Linked DNA regions of Saccharomyces cerevisiae S288C. Changing the gene in region 1 together with any one later gene gives a genetic interaction. Each region holds a gene or a part of one and is shown on either strand. Other genes may lie near its edges. The genes, in order: MRF1, DRN1, PCK1 and YLR012C.

Region 1 (4,716 bases):
GCTCTTTCAGGTAAAGGAGGAAGGAGAATTGAGCTTGCTGACTCGAAAAATGATACTTTAGGAATTTCGGAACCATTCTCCGTAGGAAACTTTTGTGGCGCCAGTATACTCAACATTTTAGTCAGAGGCGAAATGAAAGTTTTATTGAAGAAATCTTGATTCACAGGTGTTGAAGCATCATTTATTAGCGGTGATTTTTTGCTGTTCTCCTTTAGTTTCTGTAATTGCTCCAAGATATCATTATAGTCTAGGAACAATAGCGATGCGGTATACAATGGGACAATTCCGTCATTAATAGCGTTCGCATATACTGTCCTCCTTTTGAACCTACGCAAAATCTCTATCAAGGGCAGACCAGATAGCAAGTAGAGAAGCGGTTTGCCTACTTCAACATCATTTTCCAAACCCAAGTCTTGACCTGTTTTTCCAATAACCCCGAATGAAAGTAGTACTTTAATATAGGCGGGATTATCTGTGACTATACCTAAAAGCGGTGAAGCTAAAGTAATAAAATTTATTGGATTCACCTTTTTAAAAAACCAAGGGTAGACTTCATAAATGTACGCTATTGCGAAAGCCTGGATTAGGCCACCCAATGAATGACCTACAAAAGAAATCTTGCGGATGGATTCATCGTACAAATCCTGGATAATATATTCGGCCAAACGAGTACCTAAATACTTAACTCCCTTCTCAGTTTGACAGACATTTCCCCTATAACCTTTCACAACAATTTGTTCGTGGGGATAATTCTTTTGTGCTTTGTATATCTGTTCCATAATATACACTAGATCGGTCGACACATTAGAATGTAAACCATGTGTCAAAACTACAAGATGTTTCTTTTTCTGTGGTGTGGTAATCTGAACGGGAAGATTCCACAAATCCAAGGTAGTTAACCTGTTCACTGTAAGTTTAGGGCTATAAGAACCTAGATGAGATGGCAGATCATGCGGATTTTCTACTGACTCTTTACTAGTTCCAATAGTGACTTCGTAAGTGACGTTCGTATTTGTAGTGAACAATATTTGACTCATCACATCAGCAATCCATACGTATTTCTGTCGTATGTTATGTACTGAAAGTTCAGCCACGAAATCTTGTTGAGTTTGCACATTCGGTTCAAATTTGGGGTAATCAACTGAAGCAACTATTTTTTGGGAATGATGATATTGGGCAGTTTTTACATCGCAATAAAGCATGAATGGACCCATTAGGTACGCAGCTCTATACGATAACGGATTCATATTTCTCACCTTTAACCACAAGGAATTTAAATTCAAATCTGGTGGAATTTCCTCACCGTCATAAAGATGATAAGTAATTACATATCTCTCAAGTTCACCAACCTTCACTGAAGACTTGTAATGAAACAATATTTCATTAGTTGGTGTCAGAGACATCTTGAGCAAAACACGGTTCGTACTTCACTCTCTTTGTGTACTATTCTTACTGAACTGTTGAGGCGGTACAATTTATTTCACAGAGTTTTGCATATTTCGGGCATCTACTATGTGCGTCAGTTCTTACGTGGCGCAGAACAATAGAAAAGAAGATTTACAGAAGTGATAGATACGATATGATATTTACAAGAAACGAAAAGTTACGTTCGTCAGTTACTCTCCAATAATTCTTTTGCCCGTTCGGTGCTATCATATTTAGACATTGCCTCAATAACTTCGTCCAATCGTTCTCCAGATAACACACCTGGCAGGTCCAACAATGTGAACCCGCACCTATGATCAGTGATTCTGTTCTGTGGAAAATTGTATGTTCTAATTTTATCAGACCTATTGGTGCTAGAAACCTGACTCTTTCTTGCTTTTCTTTCTTTTTCCTCCTTTTCCAGCCTTTCCTTCTCTGCAAGTCTCGCTCTTAAGATCGTAAATGCTTTAGCCTTATTCTTGTGTTGAGATCTTTCATCTTGCATGGAAACAACAATTCCAGAGGGGATATGGGTTAATCTGACAGCAGAGTCTGTCGTATTCACATGTTGACCACCTTTCCCGCTTGCACGCATGATGTCAACTCTGATTTCACCAGGTTTAAATGTTCTTTCATAAGCGTCAATAGATTTAGCAGATTCGTCACCAATTTGAGGTAACACAACCACGGCAGCAGTGGATGTGTGCGTCCTTCCTTTAGTCTCCGTACTAGGAATTCTCTGCACCCTGTGAACGCCTGCTTCAAACCTCAAACGATCGTAAGATCCGGCTTCTTCAATGCTCAGAATGGCATCGATAATGCCTGACCCACTTTCGTTTTCATTTTTCGATATAATTCGATACTTCCATTTTCTATAGTTGGCATAGCCAATATACATATCCAATAGATTCTGGGTAAAAATCATGGCTTCAATGCCACCTACACCCGGTCGAAGCTCTAGTAAGCTAGGTTTATCTGCGAACGGATGCGGTGGAAGAAGTTTATTTACCAATCTTGAGGAGGTCGTTTCATATTGGGGGACCAGTTCTGCATATTCTTGTTCAGCCTCCGCCCTTAATGATGGATCAGATACAATCATTTCTTGTAAACTTTTCAATTCATTTAGTTTTTCCTTATACTCAATAAATGTATCAGTGAGCGCTGATAATTTAGCATAATGTTTCTGCTTATTCACGTCAAAATGAATGCCGCAAGAAAGGTCTTTGTCAAGATCTTTTAGTTCAGCTTCATACTTTTCCGCTTGCTTAACAAGTAACGGAGAGAGTTCTGTGTATTGTGTTGGGATGCTGCCGTTGCTCTTAGAGTTAGTCGTTGTTGATGTCAGTCGCACTAGTAACGGCAACTTGTGACCCAAAAAAACACCCTTAAAGATGGACCTCGAGGGGAACTGGAACTTTGAAAGCCACATGCTTGCACCAATGAAATATATTGTTCTGCTCTACGAACTTTTCATTCCTGAGATATTATAAAACATATGATACGCACTATTAACGCTCTGTATTTATCCTCCGAGCGAGCAAATCCTCCTAACAAGTATATGAAATACACAATTACTCAGCCTAGTACAGATGGCACAACGAGAAGTAACACATATATTTTCTGAGAGGCCTTATTGCATAATTATACACATATATTAATATCATGTAGTAAATAAATCACTAATAATTAAAGGCTTTTTCGCGAAATGAAGTAAACTGATAAGTGAAGAATACACAAATTTAAATATCTGCCGCTGGAATATCGCTATAATCGAATGGTAATTTATAATAAATTATTATGTCTCCTGATCTTCTTGAATCCCAGTGCGCAAGAGAGTTGAAGAATCTATTGTATTCAATGTATGATGAATCTTTCAGGAAATCCTTTAGAAATGCGTTTTCCATGTGCTCGAAAACAACCAAATATGTTGGCCATTCGTGGCTGTATGTTTTACCTGGACTCCTTAGATCCTTACGAAAAGGCGGTGGGAAATTTTTGTAAATGAATGCCGATATATCGTCATACAAATGGTCACTTTCATCCATGTAGGTCTCTAGTTTGGAGTAAGCCTCTGGGTCTCCAAGTAAATGCAATGGAGGGTTACAAGTAATCGACCACAGATCTTGAATGTCACTGCGGTGTAAATAGCTTTGACCAGGTGTCGAATGACAGGGCATTATGAATCCCAAACTATCTATTTCTGGCTCTTCATGTAAAAATTTCATAACTTCGATAGATCCAGATTCGTGGAATGTGTCCAAAAGTAATGCGATGAACACCGACACGAATGGAACAAGCCAGAGTAAAGATTTTAGGCCAGATAGTCTTTTCCAATAATCTCTATCAAGTCTCAAAAGGCCAAATGATGATATTAATATGAAAAGTGGCTGTAATGGGAAGATGAACCTAAATTCCTTATGAGGTAACGTAGAGTACACCAACAGATTCAACAAGATAGTGAGTTTCACTTGGAAAAACGGGTTTAAATACTTCTTTGGGAAACTCCTTTTGCTTAGTGGAAAAAATAATCCAAATGCAAAAGCGGGAATACTTGCACCTAATACGATAGGTAAGCTTTGAAAGAAATGAAAATGCCAAGGAGCTACCCCATAAAACTTTGATAATGGTGTTGTGAAATTGAATTTTAGAAATCGGAAAAAGGGAAACGTTACTTTTTCATAAAAATACATGTCGATAATTGCATTTGCAGTAAATACCAGAAAAAAAGACCGTAAAACTTTGGAAAATGTGATGAAAAGTAAATGATACTGCTTTTTGCCTACCAAGTTTAATATTAGGGAAATGCTGGGAATTACCCAAATAAGTCCACTGCTGGGTCTTTGCAAACATGCCAGAAATGCAAAAATAAGCGACTTAGTAAAAGATGACTCTTTTATCATTTGTCCGCCTGTCCAGTCCCAGTAGTAGAGGGCAATAGAAGTTAAAATCATTTCAAAAGAGTTGATGAACGTTCTTGTAATAAAAAAGCAATTAAAAAAATTAGTTAAACTTAAAAGCAGTGCAAACTTCGTAATCTCGGATAAACCGCTGCGTCTCTCCTCTTCCTCCTTCTCGTTTCTCTTATCAAGTGTAAGTAAATAGAGCTTTTGAACAAATCTTACGATATAATATTCCCCTATGGAAGCTAGTACTGCCATAACTATTTTTGGCGCATATATCACACCATAATATTCGAACGACCGTGTGACATCAAAAGGAAGCCTCTTCAAGTCTTCAGCGACTTGCCAACTTAACTCATATTTCGGCAGTAGTAAAATTAATAAATCAGAC
Region 2 (4,817 bases), 430 kb from region 1:
TTAACAGACCAATTAACTAATCTGGACGCACGATAAATAACACCTTCATCATGTAGTCTAACAAAAGCTTCTTCAACAGACTTGGTCAATTCTGGACTCAAAGTGAAAGCTTCGCGGCTCCAATCATAAGAAGCCCCCAATTTTTGAATTTGGTTCTTAATTCTGCTATGGTATTCCTCTTTCCATTCCCAGACCTTACCAACAAAAGCTTCTCTTCCATAGTCATGTCTAGTCTTTCTGTCCTTAGCCCAGATTTGCTTCTCCACAACGGACTGAGTAGCAATACCAGCATGGTCGAAACCTGGCAAGAATAAGACAGTTTTACCTTTCATTCTGTTATATCTGATCAAAGAATCTTGGATAGCAATAGTCAAAGCATGACCAATATGTAAGGCACCAGTGACGTTTGGTGGAGGTGCTGGAATGCAAAATACACCTTCTGGTTTAACCTTACCATCAGCGGTAAACTCAGGTTCAAAAACACCAGTCTTGATCCACCAGTCATACCAAGAACTTTCAACGTTAGCAGGGTTATAAGCTTTTAAAGCCGGATCATCCAAGGATACTAAGATTTTTTTCTCACCTGGAACAGTTTTGTCAATAAATTCAGGGATTGGCTCAACTTCCTTCTTTTTCTTAGGTTTCTTTTGAGATGCACCTGTGGTGGCAGCAGCATTTTTTTTAGCTTGTTTGGCAGCGAACTTTAACAGTTTTTCAGCCTTTTTCTTCTCTTTTTCAATTTCCTTAGGAGTCTTTGGAGAGCCATCTTCCTTTAACGGATTAATGATGACCTCACCAGTCTTTGGGTCAACTGGAGGCAAATTATCAAGATCGCTCATTTTAAAGAACCTGACTTGATTATGAGTTAACGACTTCTTCAGAGAAAAGTTTTGACAAAGTGGTAATGATCGCCTATAATGACAGTTCAAAAGCCGAAAAGTGAATGTCTTAGATAATGTGTTTAACCACTTATTCATACCATCTAAGTAATTCCATAAATCTGAAGGACATACAACAACGATGACAGCCAGTGGTAGCACACACAGAGAACACCAGTAGGCTGTATGGGTGACTCTTCTAAAAAAATTTTTTCAGCGCGGTCTCTCGAAGAACTTTACCCGGTTTTTCTTTTAATTCATCACCTCTGAGTTGCTAGGTCTCTTAAACGTTCAGAGGTAGCATGACTTAGTATTCTACATATATATACATATATTTGGATATATTTGAAATTCTAAATGAAATAGTTTTAGTTTAGTTTTCTGTGAGAGAAATGTCATAGGTCCTGTAGGCCTTTTGAAACTTTTCAGCCTCTATAGTCTCTTGTTGCTTAGTTTGTAAACAGGTTGAAGAATTCCATTTCACCCTGCGTGGCAAGTTAAGTAAAAAGGCTAGTACACGTCGTCCAAACTGCAGATCTATTGTCTCACTGGCATTAAATGTGGCCAAATATATCTTTGGGTCCGCTTCAGGAGTCTCGTAGACGGTAAATTGTAAATAATTATTGGATTGGTTGTTAATTACATCCACATATTGTTTGGAAGAGTGTGAATCGTAACATTGGAACTCTAGCTTAGCATTTCTTGTGAATTTTTCGTTATTGAAATGAACCTGTCTATCTAAGGCACTGCAGAACTTTAGAACGAGGTATTTTGGAACGGGAATAACTTGTTTGTGGAAATGAATAGAACGTTCAGACTGTATTTCGAAGACAATCGTGCACATATCAAATTTTATGTAGTTCATCTTCACAAGACTAGCTTCATAAGCCAAAATACTCTGTGTCAACTCTGCGTTCTTGCTTGGATCTAATTTCGGAATATGTTCAATGGGAATAATGAGGCAATGGCCTGAGATATCCATATCACCCTTAGGAACACTTAAAGGTCCCTTCGCTGTGGTTAAATACACTAGTTTGCCGATTGATATTATCATATGATCCTCGAGGTTTGGATTTGAAAAGCAGAAATGACAACTTGACGGCAAAATCGTTCGAATTTTTTTATTTTCATTCTTTTCTCTATTAGCAAGTACCTGTTTGTCTCCATCGAACGAATTCTCTGTTTCTGTTTCTAGTGGCCTTTTATTGCTGTTTGTAACCACGCTATTATACGGGTTAGCTATCAAGTTGGGCGGTTCAGGTTCATCCTTTAGTTCGTTGTCCCCTATTGGCATATTGAATGCATAGGCCCATTTCTTTCCAGATCCATATTTTGGAATATTGAGGAACCTCGATAAGCGCTCTCTTTCCCACTGGAAAGGCTCTAATTCGTAAAAGTTTATTTCATCTGAAAAGGCAAAATGGTACCTTGCTTGTAACTTTTTCGCCAATTCATCAACAACTTCACTTCCAGACAACCTTCCACATCTCTCAGAGATCGAAAGGCCCCATTCTTTTGTAAGGAGAATGTCTACCTGATCCTCACTTTTGCCAAATTCGTCCAGTATGCTTTTTTTCTCCCCTTGAAGAGTATCATCCGGATAAATAAAATATGAAAGAGTGATTCCATTTGCTAATTTATAAGTACCCATATTATGCAGCAATGTTACATTTTCATTTATCTTTTTGGATTTCGAATTGTTAGCCTTATCACACGATAGTAGTATTAGTTGAGGTAACCCATCAGTATTCAGCTCAAAATTTTCATCATACGAGTTACTGAATATAATTATTAGATCAAAGGGCCCTGATTTTTCATTCACTTTCTTGATCTTTCTGATAGCCTCATCGGCATCGCTTTCACTTATATGAGCTACTAAAATCTTTGCATTTGTCATCCTATTTTTATATGTAAGTTTTTGAAGTGAAAAAGATATCAGTAAACCATAAGCCCTTTTTTATATATTATGGATCCTTCTAAGAGAGCTACCTTGCGTTTTTTGTACATCTAGCAATGTAGTATCAGTCCAATTTGTAATTATCATTGAAAAAACAATTGATGTTAACACCCATTCCTTTTCATTTTTTGCAGATTTTCGATTAATAGTGGTCATTGCTGTTTTCCTGTAAAACATTACCAAGTTTCGCCGCTCCCAACATGAATGCTTAAGTTTAGTTCAAAACGGTCATGGGATGGACCGTTACCGTGAACTGAGATTTTAAACAATGGGCTTGAAGTCCTAAGTAATGCACAACTATATATATATATATGTATATTTATGAAAAAAGCGTTCATAGGTGCTAGTTGAAAAGTTTGCATGAAGCTCGTTAAAGCTAATTATATCGCGGCGAATGCAAGACAAGAATTCATTTTTACGCTAGTAAAAGGTTGAAAAGGGGTCTGAGTGTTCCAGTCCGTTGAATAAGATGCCACTGGAACCCTGTTTACCATTTCTATGTCGGAAAGTGAACCCAACAAGTTTTGATGATACTGCCGAGTCATCTACCATAGCCGTTAATTTGTCTTGTCTTTTGAAAACATCAGCATATTTGGCCATGTCAGCCTCACTGGTGAAGTCATCAAAATAACCGGCATCAGTTTCGCTGTCTAGTTGGGGTGTAAAAGGCGGGATCATTGACCTCAAAGTACTAAAGTTTATATCTGCAAAATAAGACATGCGTTTAACATGTTCGAAGGATCTTAATCGATTGATTGGATCGGCAATCAATCTTGTTATTAAATCCCAAGTTCTATCGGAGAATGCTGCCCTCCCATCAGATTGTCTCGGTCTTCTTAAAGTTTGTTTCCAGCGCCTTAAGTTGTCATAGGTCTCATTAGTCGATGATCCACTAAATGGTGTATAACCAACTAAACTTTCGAACAGCATACAACCCAACGACCAGTAATCCACAGTAAAGTCATATTTCTTTCCTTCTAAAACCTCCAAAGCCATATAATCCGGAGACCCAACCATGGAGTTCGCATAATTAATTTCCTTCTCCCTCAACTGGTTGTACATTTTTCTTCTATCTTCTATAGATTTCTCTGTAAACGCTGGAAATTCCAGGTCCTTGATTTTTTCTAACCTTATCTTCATACTTTCAATTCTTTCATTAGAAATCGTACCAGCAGCCAAACCAAAATCTGTTAATTTTATATGTCCCTTGGCATCGATTAAGAAGTTTTCCGGCTTTAAATCTCTATGTGTATAGCCTAAATCATGTAACGCATTAACAGCGCAAAACATTTCACTGATGTAAAATCTCGCATGGCCACTTTTCAAGCATCTAGTATTTATTAATAATGTACGAAAATCACCGCCTGGTACAAATTCCATAGCCAGGTATAAACTTTGTAGGTCTTGGAATGCATACAGAAGTTTTACTAACCATTCAGACCTTGTCGTGGTTAGGATATCTCTTTCAGTTAAAACGTGTTTTGTCTCGTTGAGCTTAAACAATAGTTTTTTGTTCAAAATTTTCAAAGCACACACCTCTTTTGTGTCTTTCTTTCTGGCTAAATAAACTTGCCCATAACCACCTTGACCTACTTGTGTGATCATTTCAAAATCCCTATTTTTTGGTTTCAACCTTCTTTTTCTCAAAACCTGATGTTCCCTTTGTAAGTAAGAGGACCACTCTTCGTTGAGTTTAATCTGGTCAGAATTCGGAAGTTGGCTTTGCTGTTGCAGGTATTCTAGAACTTGCTTCGTGCGTTGTCTTCTACTAATTACATAGTCAAACATATCACAGTAATGTTCTAGAAAGTACATTTTGCAAACACTAACAACTCTCTGTGTTTTATTTGAAGTTGCTCTTTCGTAAAACTTTGGTGGAAGCTTCTTGGGAGAGTTCGAGACATCCATATCAGGTTGAGATACTTCGTCTATGTCCATGTTGGAAGTATCTTCGTAAGGAAAAAAGGATGGTTTTACCGGCG
Region 3 (4,877 bases), on another chromosome or scaffold:
AGAAATGGTACGAGAGAAATGTTATTACTGATGGTTTATCTCCAATTGATCACATATATCGAGGGCAGTTGGAGAACATTTTGAAATGTCAGCGCTGTGGTAATTCTTCTTATAGCTATTCTACCTTCTATGTTCTGTCACTTGCGATTCCAAAACTATCATTGTATAGCTTTACAAGTAAGTCGAGAAAAATTAAATTAGAGGATTGCATAAACTTATTTACAGGCGATGAAGAACTGTCAGGCGACAATGCTTGGGATTGTCCTAATTGTAGAATTACTGATTCTAAATCCAAAAAAGAAGAAATTACTAGCCAGAAGAAAAAATCAACCATATTCGGTTTTCATTCCAGATCAAGGTCAAAATCACCCCACCATCATCACCATCATCACCATAGCAGCGATGATTCAACAAAAAATGCAAAGAAGCGAAATTCTAAAAAGTTAACCACGATTAAGAGTTTAGACTTTATAGTTTTACCTCCGATACTTGTCATTCATTTATCAAGGTTCTATTATGATTTAACAAAAAAAAACAGCACTGTAATAACCTACCCTTTGATATTGAACATTATTTTAAAGAACGGTAAAGTGATTCGATACAAGTTATATGGAACGGTGAATCATTCCGGTAACCTTATCAATGGACACTATACTTCTGTTGTGAACAAAGAAAAGAGCCATGAAATTGGACTGAATAGACAAGTTTGGGTTACATTTGATGACGATTATATACAGCAACATCGCAAGGATCGCAACAACTTTGAAGCCGGCAAAACAGAAATGTCTAGCGATGAGGTATACGTCTTATTCTACGAAAGAATGGATGAAGAGAACTATGAAGAAGAATTCTGTTAATTGCATCGGATTTTTGAATTTTCCTTATGTATATACATAAATATGTTTGAAAGATTAATTAGAAAAACATGTGCTTGTTGATCCAGTTTCAGTTATTAAAAAAAAGCTGAAATGGGAAGAGAAAAAATTGACAAAATAATATATTACGAACATTTATGATGTCGAAATAATTCTAATTCTTTTTTTTTTTTTTGGATTGAACATATCGAACGAACATGTTTCGTTTACTCGAATTGAGGACCAGCGGCTAATACATCTGGTGTGGCTCTGTCTTGATAAATCTTGAAATTTTGAACAAACAAGTTGGCCAAGTTGGTAACTGCACCTCTGTATTTGGATTCACCTTGAGACCAGTTTTTAGCAGGATTCAAAAGCTCAGCTGGAACACCGTTAACCTTGGTAGGTACTTGAAGATTGAAAATCGGTAAAGTTTCGTACGTTTCATTGGCTAACGAACCATCATGAATAGAATCCAGAATGGCCCTTGTGTACTTCAATGGGCAACGTTTACCACCAGATACGTAGGAAGAACCAGTCCAGCCGGTGTTGATTAAGTACGCATTAGCTTTATGTTGAGACATCTTTGTAGCTAACATGGTTGCGTATCTAATAGGGTGCAAGGCTAGGAAGGGTTGTCCGAAACAAGATGAAAATGTTGGTTCAGGTTCAGTGACACCTTGCTCAGTACCAGCCATTTTAGAAGTGTAACCAGAGATGAAATGGTACATGACTTGTTCAGGAGTCAATTTAGATACTGGTGGTAAAACACCCGAAGCATCACAAGTTAGCAGGATAATGTTCTTTGGATGAGAGTCCGCCAAACATGGAATCTTGGCACTTGGAATGTAGTCAATTGGGTAGGCACATCTAGTATTTTCAGTAATAGAAGAGTCGTCATAGTCGACTACATGCGACTTCTCGTCATAGATAACGTTTTCTAATACAGAACCAAACTTGATAGCGTCGAAAATTTCAGGCTCCTTTTCGGCAGATAAATTAATACACTTGGCGTAACAACCACCTTCGATATTGAAGACACCATGGTCGGACCAACAATGTTCATCATCGCCGATCAACAATCTATGTGGGTCTGCGGATAAAGTGGTTTTCCCGGTACCACTTAGGCCAAAGAATAAAGTAACGTCACCGTTTTGAATACCCTGGTTGGCGGAAGAGTGCAAAGTTAAAACGTTATGGTGCACAGGCATCAAGTAAAACATAACTGTGAAAATACCTTTTTTCATTTCACCGGCGTATTCGGTACCTAAAATGATCATTTCCATTGCTTTGAAGTTAATTTCTATAGTACTCTTTGAAGACATATCCTGGGTGTGTAAATTGGCTGGGAACTGACCAGCGTTCCAGACAGTAAAATCAGGTTCTCCAAAATGGGCTAATTCTTCTTCTGTAGGTCTAATAAGCATATTTGTCATGAATAAAGCGTGGTAAGCCCTGGCACAAACAACGCGGACTTTGATTCTGTATTTTGGATCCCATCCTGCAAATGCATCGACAATATAAATGTGGTCTCTTGTTCTCAAGTAATCTGCAGCTCTTTCACGGTTGATAGACCATGTTCTTTCAGAACATGGTTTATTGACCGGACCCCACCAAATTTCGTCTTTCGAGGTAGGTTCTTCAACAATACGTTTGTCCTTTGGAGATCTTCCGGTTTTAACACCGGAATAAGCGATCAATGCACCGCTTGATGAAATGACAGTTTTATTTTCTTTTAGACCATCTTCATACAAAACGGCAGCTGGAGCATTGCGTCTGATGGTGGTGACTTCGTCACTAAGAGCCAATTCTTGTCTGATTTTTTGTTCAACTTCGGAAGTAGATCCTACTGTAGCATTCATTTTAGAAGGGGACATGTTGTTATTTTATTATGGAATAATTAGTTGCGTGAGTTTGGTTTTTTTTTTTTATTTTTGAGTTAAACAAATATAATTATTGTTTAAGCTGAAATAAAGATATATATGTATATCTGGGAAAGGCTGTTGGTTATCTGTCTTACTTCTGTATATTTAAGAAGTAAGTAGAAATACTGATTACACATGGAAGAGAAGTTACACACATTACAAAGACTTCTCTGCCCTTATATACCTTTTTTTTGTGGTCTTCTATACTCTGCCCAATGTTGCTATCCCCAGCCAAGCCTTACTTAATACACAAACGTACCATTGTCCAACCAGAAGCGTCTAAGCTTTACAATCCTGTTTGGGCCCTTTATCCGCCTATCCATAATGTTAAGCAGCCTAAAACTTGCTAGTCTAGCCGGCATCTTTCCCTTGTATAACTTAAAATACCCGGAGCTTCAGTGATATGTAGAACACAGCCGCGCCGGATGAAAGGAAGCTCGGTTTTTTCCTATTGTGAGTCAAAAAAAGAAAAGAGATGTATCCAAATTAGGAAATCCAGATCTCCATTCACCCGTCAGCGTCCCGATATTCTCCGGTGGATCGTGTGGGATATTCCGATTTTTTCCGACAAGGCCCTGGGTGGGGGCTCTGCCCAAGTGCTCTGGTCAGAATTGTATGGAAGTCAGTTGGTTATATGCATATAAAAGTATATATTAAAATTAAAGTGTTATTTATGGCGGTGAGTAGAATTGGTGTTGTTGTAAATGTACGTACAACGAACGATCAGTCTGTACACAGATGGCGCTGTTCGCCAAGTTTTGTGCACAAAGAAAACACAAATCGTGTGCTTAGCGTTTTTATTTCTTTTTCTTCTGCTTTTTTCTTCATGGCGTCGTCGTCAGATATCAGAACTACGTAGTTAAAGCGGCGAGGGGAAAGACGCGGTTCGCTGGCACTCTCTAGTTTTTCTTGCGCCTTCATTACGGATTCGATGACAAACTCGTCGACATGTGTCCTCCATGTTATTTGTTCTTCAAATTCTAAGTTCTCTTCGATGTGTGTCGCTACATTACCTGTGAATCTTAGGGGTAATACTTTATTCTCATAGTAAAGCTGCCTTATAGTTATTATACCTCTTGTGGCAGCCTCCATGACGTTTTCGTCCTTTGACTTTCGTAAAAATCTCAGCTCTTGGAATGTGGTTAAACAAATGGCAAATCTTAGCAGTCTGTTTTGAGCTAGCTTGAATATGCGTGCGGAATGTCTTAGCCAAGAAGTTGCATCAAAGACAAAGTATGTAGTTTTAAAATCTATTTCTGGATAATCAGATTTTATACATTCCAGAAATAGACCTTCATTTTCCTTTTCGCTGTTATAATTGATGTTGTCCTCTATGTTAGTGTTGTTGCTGTTCGGGACATACCATGTAGTGTAAAGCGAGGCGCTTAAAAATTCTCCATTTTTATCGAAGCACGTATAATCGGCACGAAGTTTCTTGTAGCCAACATAGTGGAAGATATTATCGCCCTCGTTGACACTTAGTTCCGGCACAGCGTGCAGATCAGTGTTGTTTTCACTTCTTGCCTCAGATATGTCAATAATACTTTCCAGGGCACCTAATACTGGTATATTGTTGTGTATATTGCACAAGGGTTCGAGTTTGAAGACTAAACTTCCCAATATATTAGTATTTTGAAATGATGAACGATATATCAACGGATCGTTTCTGATTATTACGCCTATTGGAAAACTTCTTGACAGCTCTCTAAAAAGAAATATGGTTCTGCATGCCCTTTTCCAGAATTTTTCACCATTTTCGTCCTTTTCATCAAATATAATTCCATCTGTCGGCGAATCCAATGCCATATAATCTTTTATACCGATTTCTTGAAAATTATCTTCACTACTAATCGAATGCGTATTCTTTTCGCAAATTGTGTCAAACCACAATGTTCCCCAACAGCCCAAAATTTCTGGTAATTCTTCGCCTTCATTGAATAATTCTAAAAGTTCAGAAAGGCTTAATTTATCGTAGTCATCGCATAAATCTCCAATAATAGAGTTCGATGTTTGGTTATCCAATAAATACACAATCAAAACATTCATAAAGGTAACCATTGTATCCCATGGAAAAGCTCTCTTAACAATAATCATCCAG
Region 4 (3,530 bases), on another chromosome or scaffold:
ACCCTGTGTAGATTCTACAGATAAGCTGCTTTTTTCTTTGAGTGGTGCCCCCGTTGTTTATTACCCGTCAGTATCATAACATTTGAGCATCTCACATGGTTACGAATGTAAATATGAATCAAAGAAGGTGCAAAATCAAAAAAAATCGAAAGATTTGACATGCCTATTGAAAAGGGAAAGTTGTATATCTATCAATTGTTAATTAGTTACTTGGTCATCTCCATTACCAGCTGAGGTGCTTAGTCGACAACCGCATTAAACATGAAAGTGGGTATTATAATGGGTTCTGTGAGGGCAAAGAGGGTATGCCCAGAAATTGCAGCATACGTAAAACGTACAATTGAAAATAGCGAAGAATTAATAGACCAGAAGCTGAAAATACAAGTAGTAGATTTACAACAGATTGCTCTTCCCTTATATGAAGATGATGACGAACTGATCCCTGCGCAAATAAAGAGCGTGGATGAGTATGCAGACAGCAAAACTCGATCGTGGAGTCGCATCGTAAATGCATTAGATATTATTGTATTCGTTACACCTCAATATAATTGGGGGTATCCAGCAGCCTTAAAAAATGCAATTGATCGTCTTTACCATGAATGGCACGGAAAACCTGCCCTGGTGGTAAGCTACGGCGGTCATGGCGGTAGTAAGTGTAATGACCAACTTCAAGAGGTACTACATGGTTTGAAGATGAATGTTATAGGTGGAGTGGCGGTGAAAATACCGGTAGGTACGATACCGTTACCCGAGGACATTGTACCACAACTCAGCGTGCACAATGAAGAGATCCTGCAATTACTCGCATCGTGCATCGAAACAACGAGGAATAAATAAACCATAAAATTTAACTGTAGTCGCAATAAAAGATGAAAAGCTAACACAATTATCATAGGACACTGTAATCCAGACTTTAATTAGTATTAAGTATTGAGTACAAAGTACAAAGTATTATACTAACGGTAGTTTGGGCTCTTCGATTACCCATACACTTTTAATGGACTAATTTCATCAAGTTTCATTCGAAAATTTTCTTAAAATATATATATGCGTAGTGGTATAGTATTCATATTTCATGAACTTATTTCATAAAAAAAGATAAAGCAAACCTAATATTTGGATCGGCGCTCGAAATTATTCTCAGTATTCTTCAGCATTAGACATCTTTAACATATCAATCTTTAAAAGGTTTCTTCTTCTTCTGTAGCTCGGAATATAAGCATTCATATATGACCATGTTGTAACGCGATCGAACCAAGCAACTTCTTCTTGTGCAAATTTCCTAGCAATACCAGGCACACCTCCTTGACGATCAAATGCAATTCTTTCAGTCTCTTGTTCAAAATCTTTTTGACATAAAGCCAGGTATTTTTCCTGTTGTTCAGGTTGCAGTTGAAGATACTGCTGGTAGGTGATTTCTTTGTAATAGACAGTCTTCATTTGAATATGTTCGAGACTTTTTCTCTTAATCTCTATGAATATTTTCTGTCTTGAAGCTGCCGTCTTCATAGAATGTTGTTCTATTATCCACCTCGAACATGGCCTTTTTATACGTTTTTACATTAAACATCCCCTTCATATTAGTTTGTTCTCGACTTAATTCTACTCATGCTTCTGACATTTTTTCATGCCAAGACCGGCCCTGAAAAAGGGTCCGGATATACGGATAGCGCCACACATTCAATTAGGGGAAGTATTATTTGATACATTGTCAGCACACAGCGATTTAACCCATTATTTGGCATGACAAGCAAGCTATTCGACAGTGAAAAATGCACAGAACATTCAAAATTATACTTATAATATGACTCTTTTCTTTTATTGCAGTTGGTATTATATACATATATATATATATATATATATGTATATGTTCCCCGAGACAATGGTTTTATTTCCAAAAAAAGTGTAAGTAAGTTATTTTCTGTGTATAAAAAAATAAAAGAAGCCAGATGAAGTGCCAGGTGGCGTACCAGGACTTCAGCTTTCTTTAGTTTGCATAATGAAAGTATCACTTACAGCTCCCTTGAAGGATTAGACGCTATTAACCCCGATGAAAACGCATCAACAAAACCTTTAACACAGTACTTATTTGGTGCAATACATACTCACACAAACACCTGTAGAAAATCCCCTTATATGAAAATCCCTTTTTTTTCTTGGCAAGTATTTCTGATAAAATGCGGACAACATTACCTGCTTAGCCGCCTGCCACAGAAAATAAGTAGGCTTCTCTGTAAAATGGAATAATAGGCTAGAGGTCAAAAACCTCCTCTTCAGTCATATCTATGTTTTTAAGGGTCTAGGGTCCAATTTGATGGAAAAGAACAAATGGTCGAGCATGTTAATTAATATTTGTTGCTCTGTTTGAAGAGTATATTATAAGACGAGAGGTTCTTTGAGGGAGCTTATCTTACCTTTTCTTGATTTGAAACAATTTCATTAAATGTAAACAATTATCAACTAGAAGCAAATATAAAGCCAGAAGGAAGAATTTGCTATGAACATTAAGACTTTGTGTCATCCAGAATATAAAAGAATCTCCGTTGAATCGTTATTGAATCCGGTAGAGGAGACAATAGACTGCGAAAAACCTCACTCTCAAACAAAAATCAATACTGCTAAACCCATTAGTGCATCTTTGTATGTCACAACGAATAATACTGCTGTTGTTCAGCACAATGTCCAAAAGAGGAAAGGCGTCACCAGGAGATGTCCACAGTGTGCGGTGATAAAAACTTCTCCGCAATGGAGAGAGGGTCCTGATGGAGAGGTGACATTGTGTAATGCCTGTGGATTATTTTATAGAAAAATATTTTTGGTTTTTGGCAAGGATCTGGCAAAACGGTACTTTAACGAAATAAAAGGTGTGAGCGTCAAACGAAAAGTTCCAAAGAGCCTCTATGGAGTTACAAGAACGCGTTAAGAGAATTTATTTCTGCTCGGAATGTTATATACTTATGTCAAAGCAGTGATTATACATTTATCGACTTTAAACAGTTGATAACGAACATTATGTGTTATTCGAAAGTCAAAGTGCCATACAAAACAAGTGGTTTCTCAGTTCTTGCAATTTTTCTTTATCAGCGTAGTCCCAGAAAAAAAAATCATCACTGGAAATGTAAGATGAATTCAAGTATCAAGTGCCGTTGGTATTATAGTTTATCAATTAATACGTAAATATATATATATATATATATATATATATATATGACTATAGTGGCATACTTCTCAATGGACTGTTGCTTCTATCATTTTATACATGCGTTCAACTTTGAAGATTATCACAAAAACCTCAAACTTTTCAATTAATCTGCCCCGGTCATTTAAGTTAGCTCTTTTAGGACTCTCATGTTTTCAAAAAATAGATTGAAAAGAGCATTGGTGGCCCTACTTTCAATCCATTGATCATGATTCTTCGAGCTATCGCTAAAATATTCCACCGGATTCAGAGTTCTTTCCTTTACTGATATCGTAAGAAGACTCGCCTTCGTTTCCGTTACCAGACCTGACAAAAAACTCATCCCATACAG

Evidence for each region.
Region 2: mutations in MRF1 (region 1) and DRN1 together harm fitness more than expected from each alone (negative genetic interaction), as found in Saccharomyces cerevisiae (one large-scale study listed by BioGRID).
Region 3: mutations in MRF1 (region 1) and PCK1 together harm fitness more than expected from each alone (negative genetic interaction), as found in Saccharomyces cerevisiae (one large-scale study listed by BioGRID).
Region 4: mutations in MRF1 (region 1) and YLR012C together harm fitness more than expected from each alone (negative genetic interaction), as found in Saccharomyces cerevisiae (one large-scale study listed by BioGRID).

Annotation. Positions count from the first base shown.
Region 1 is NC_001139.9:233,105-237,820, forward strand, and holds MRF1 (Mrf1p), read right to left. Parts: upstream 2,855-4,716; coding exon 1,613-2,854; downstream 1-1,612. Other genes in the region: putative lipase ROG1, read right to left, coding at 1-1,403; GPI10 (putative glycosylphosphatidylinositol-alpha 1,2 mannosyltransferase), read right to left, coding at 3,165-4,716. UniProt on the Saccharomyces cerevisiae protein: Mitochondrial peptide chain release factor that directs the termination of translation in response to the peptide chain termination codons UAA and UAG.
Region 2 is NC_001139.9:668,346-673,162, reverse strand, and holds DRN1 (Drn1p), read right to left. Parts: upstream 2,776-4,817; coding exon 1,252-2,775; downstream 1-1,251. Other genes in the region: VAS1 (valine--tRNA ligase), read right to left, coding at 1-977; serine/threonine-protein kinase DBF2, read right to left, coding at 3,256-4,817. UniProt on the Saccharomyces cerevisiae protein: Involved in branched RNA metabolism, modulating the turnover of lariat-intron pre-mRNAs by the lariat-debranching enzyme DBR1. Enhances the debranching activity of DBR1 in vitro.
Region 3 is NC_001143.9:629,006-633,882, reverse strand, and holds PCK1 (phosphoenolpyruvate carboxykinase PCK1), read right to left. Parts: upstream 2,732-4,877; coding exon 1,082-2,731; downstream 1-1,081. Other genes in the region: ubiquitin-specific protease UBP11, read left to right, coding at 1-857; ESL2 (Esl2p), read right to left, coding at 3,503-4,877.
Region 4 is NC_001144.5:168,842-172,371, forward strand, and holds YLR012C (uncharacterized protein), read right to left. Parts: upstream 1,441-3,530; coding exon 1,141-1,440; downstream 1-1,140. Other genes in the region: LOT6 (flavin-dependent quinone reductase), read left to right, coding at 262-837; GAT3 (Gat3p), read left to right, coding at 2,498-2,923; PPR1 (Ppr1p), read right to left, coding at 3,427-3,530.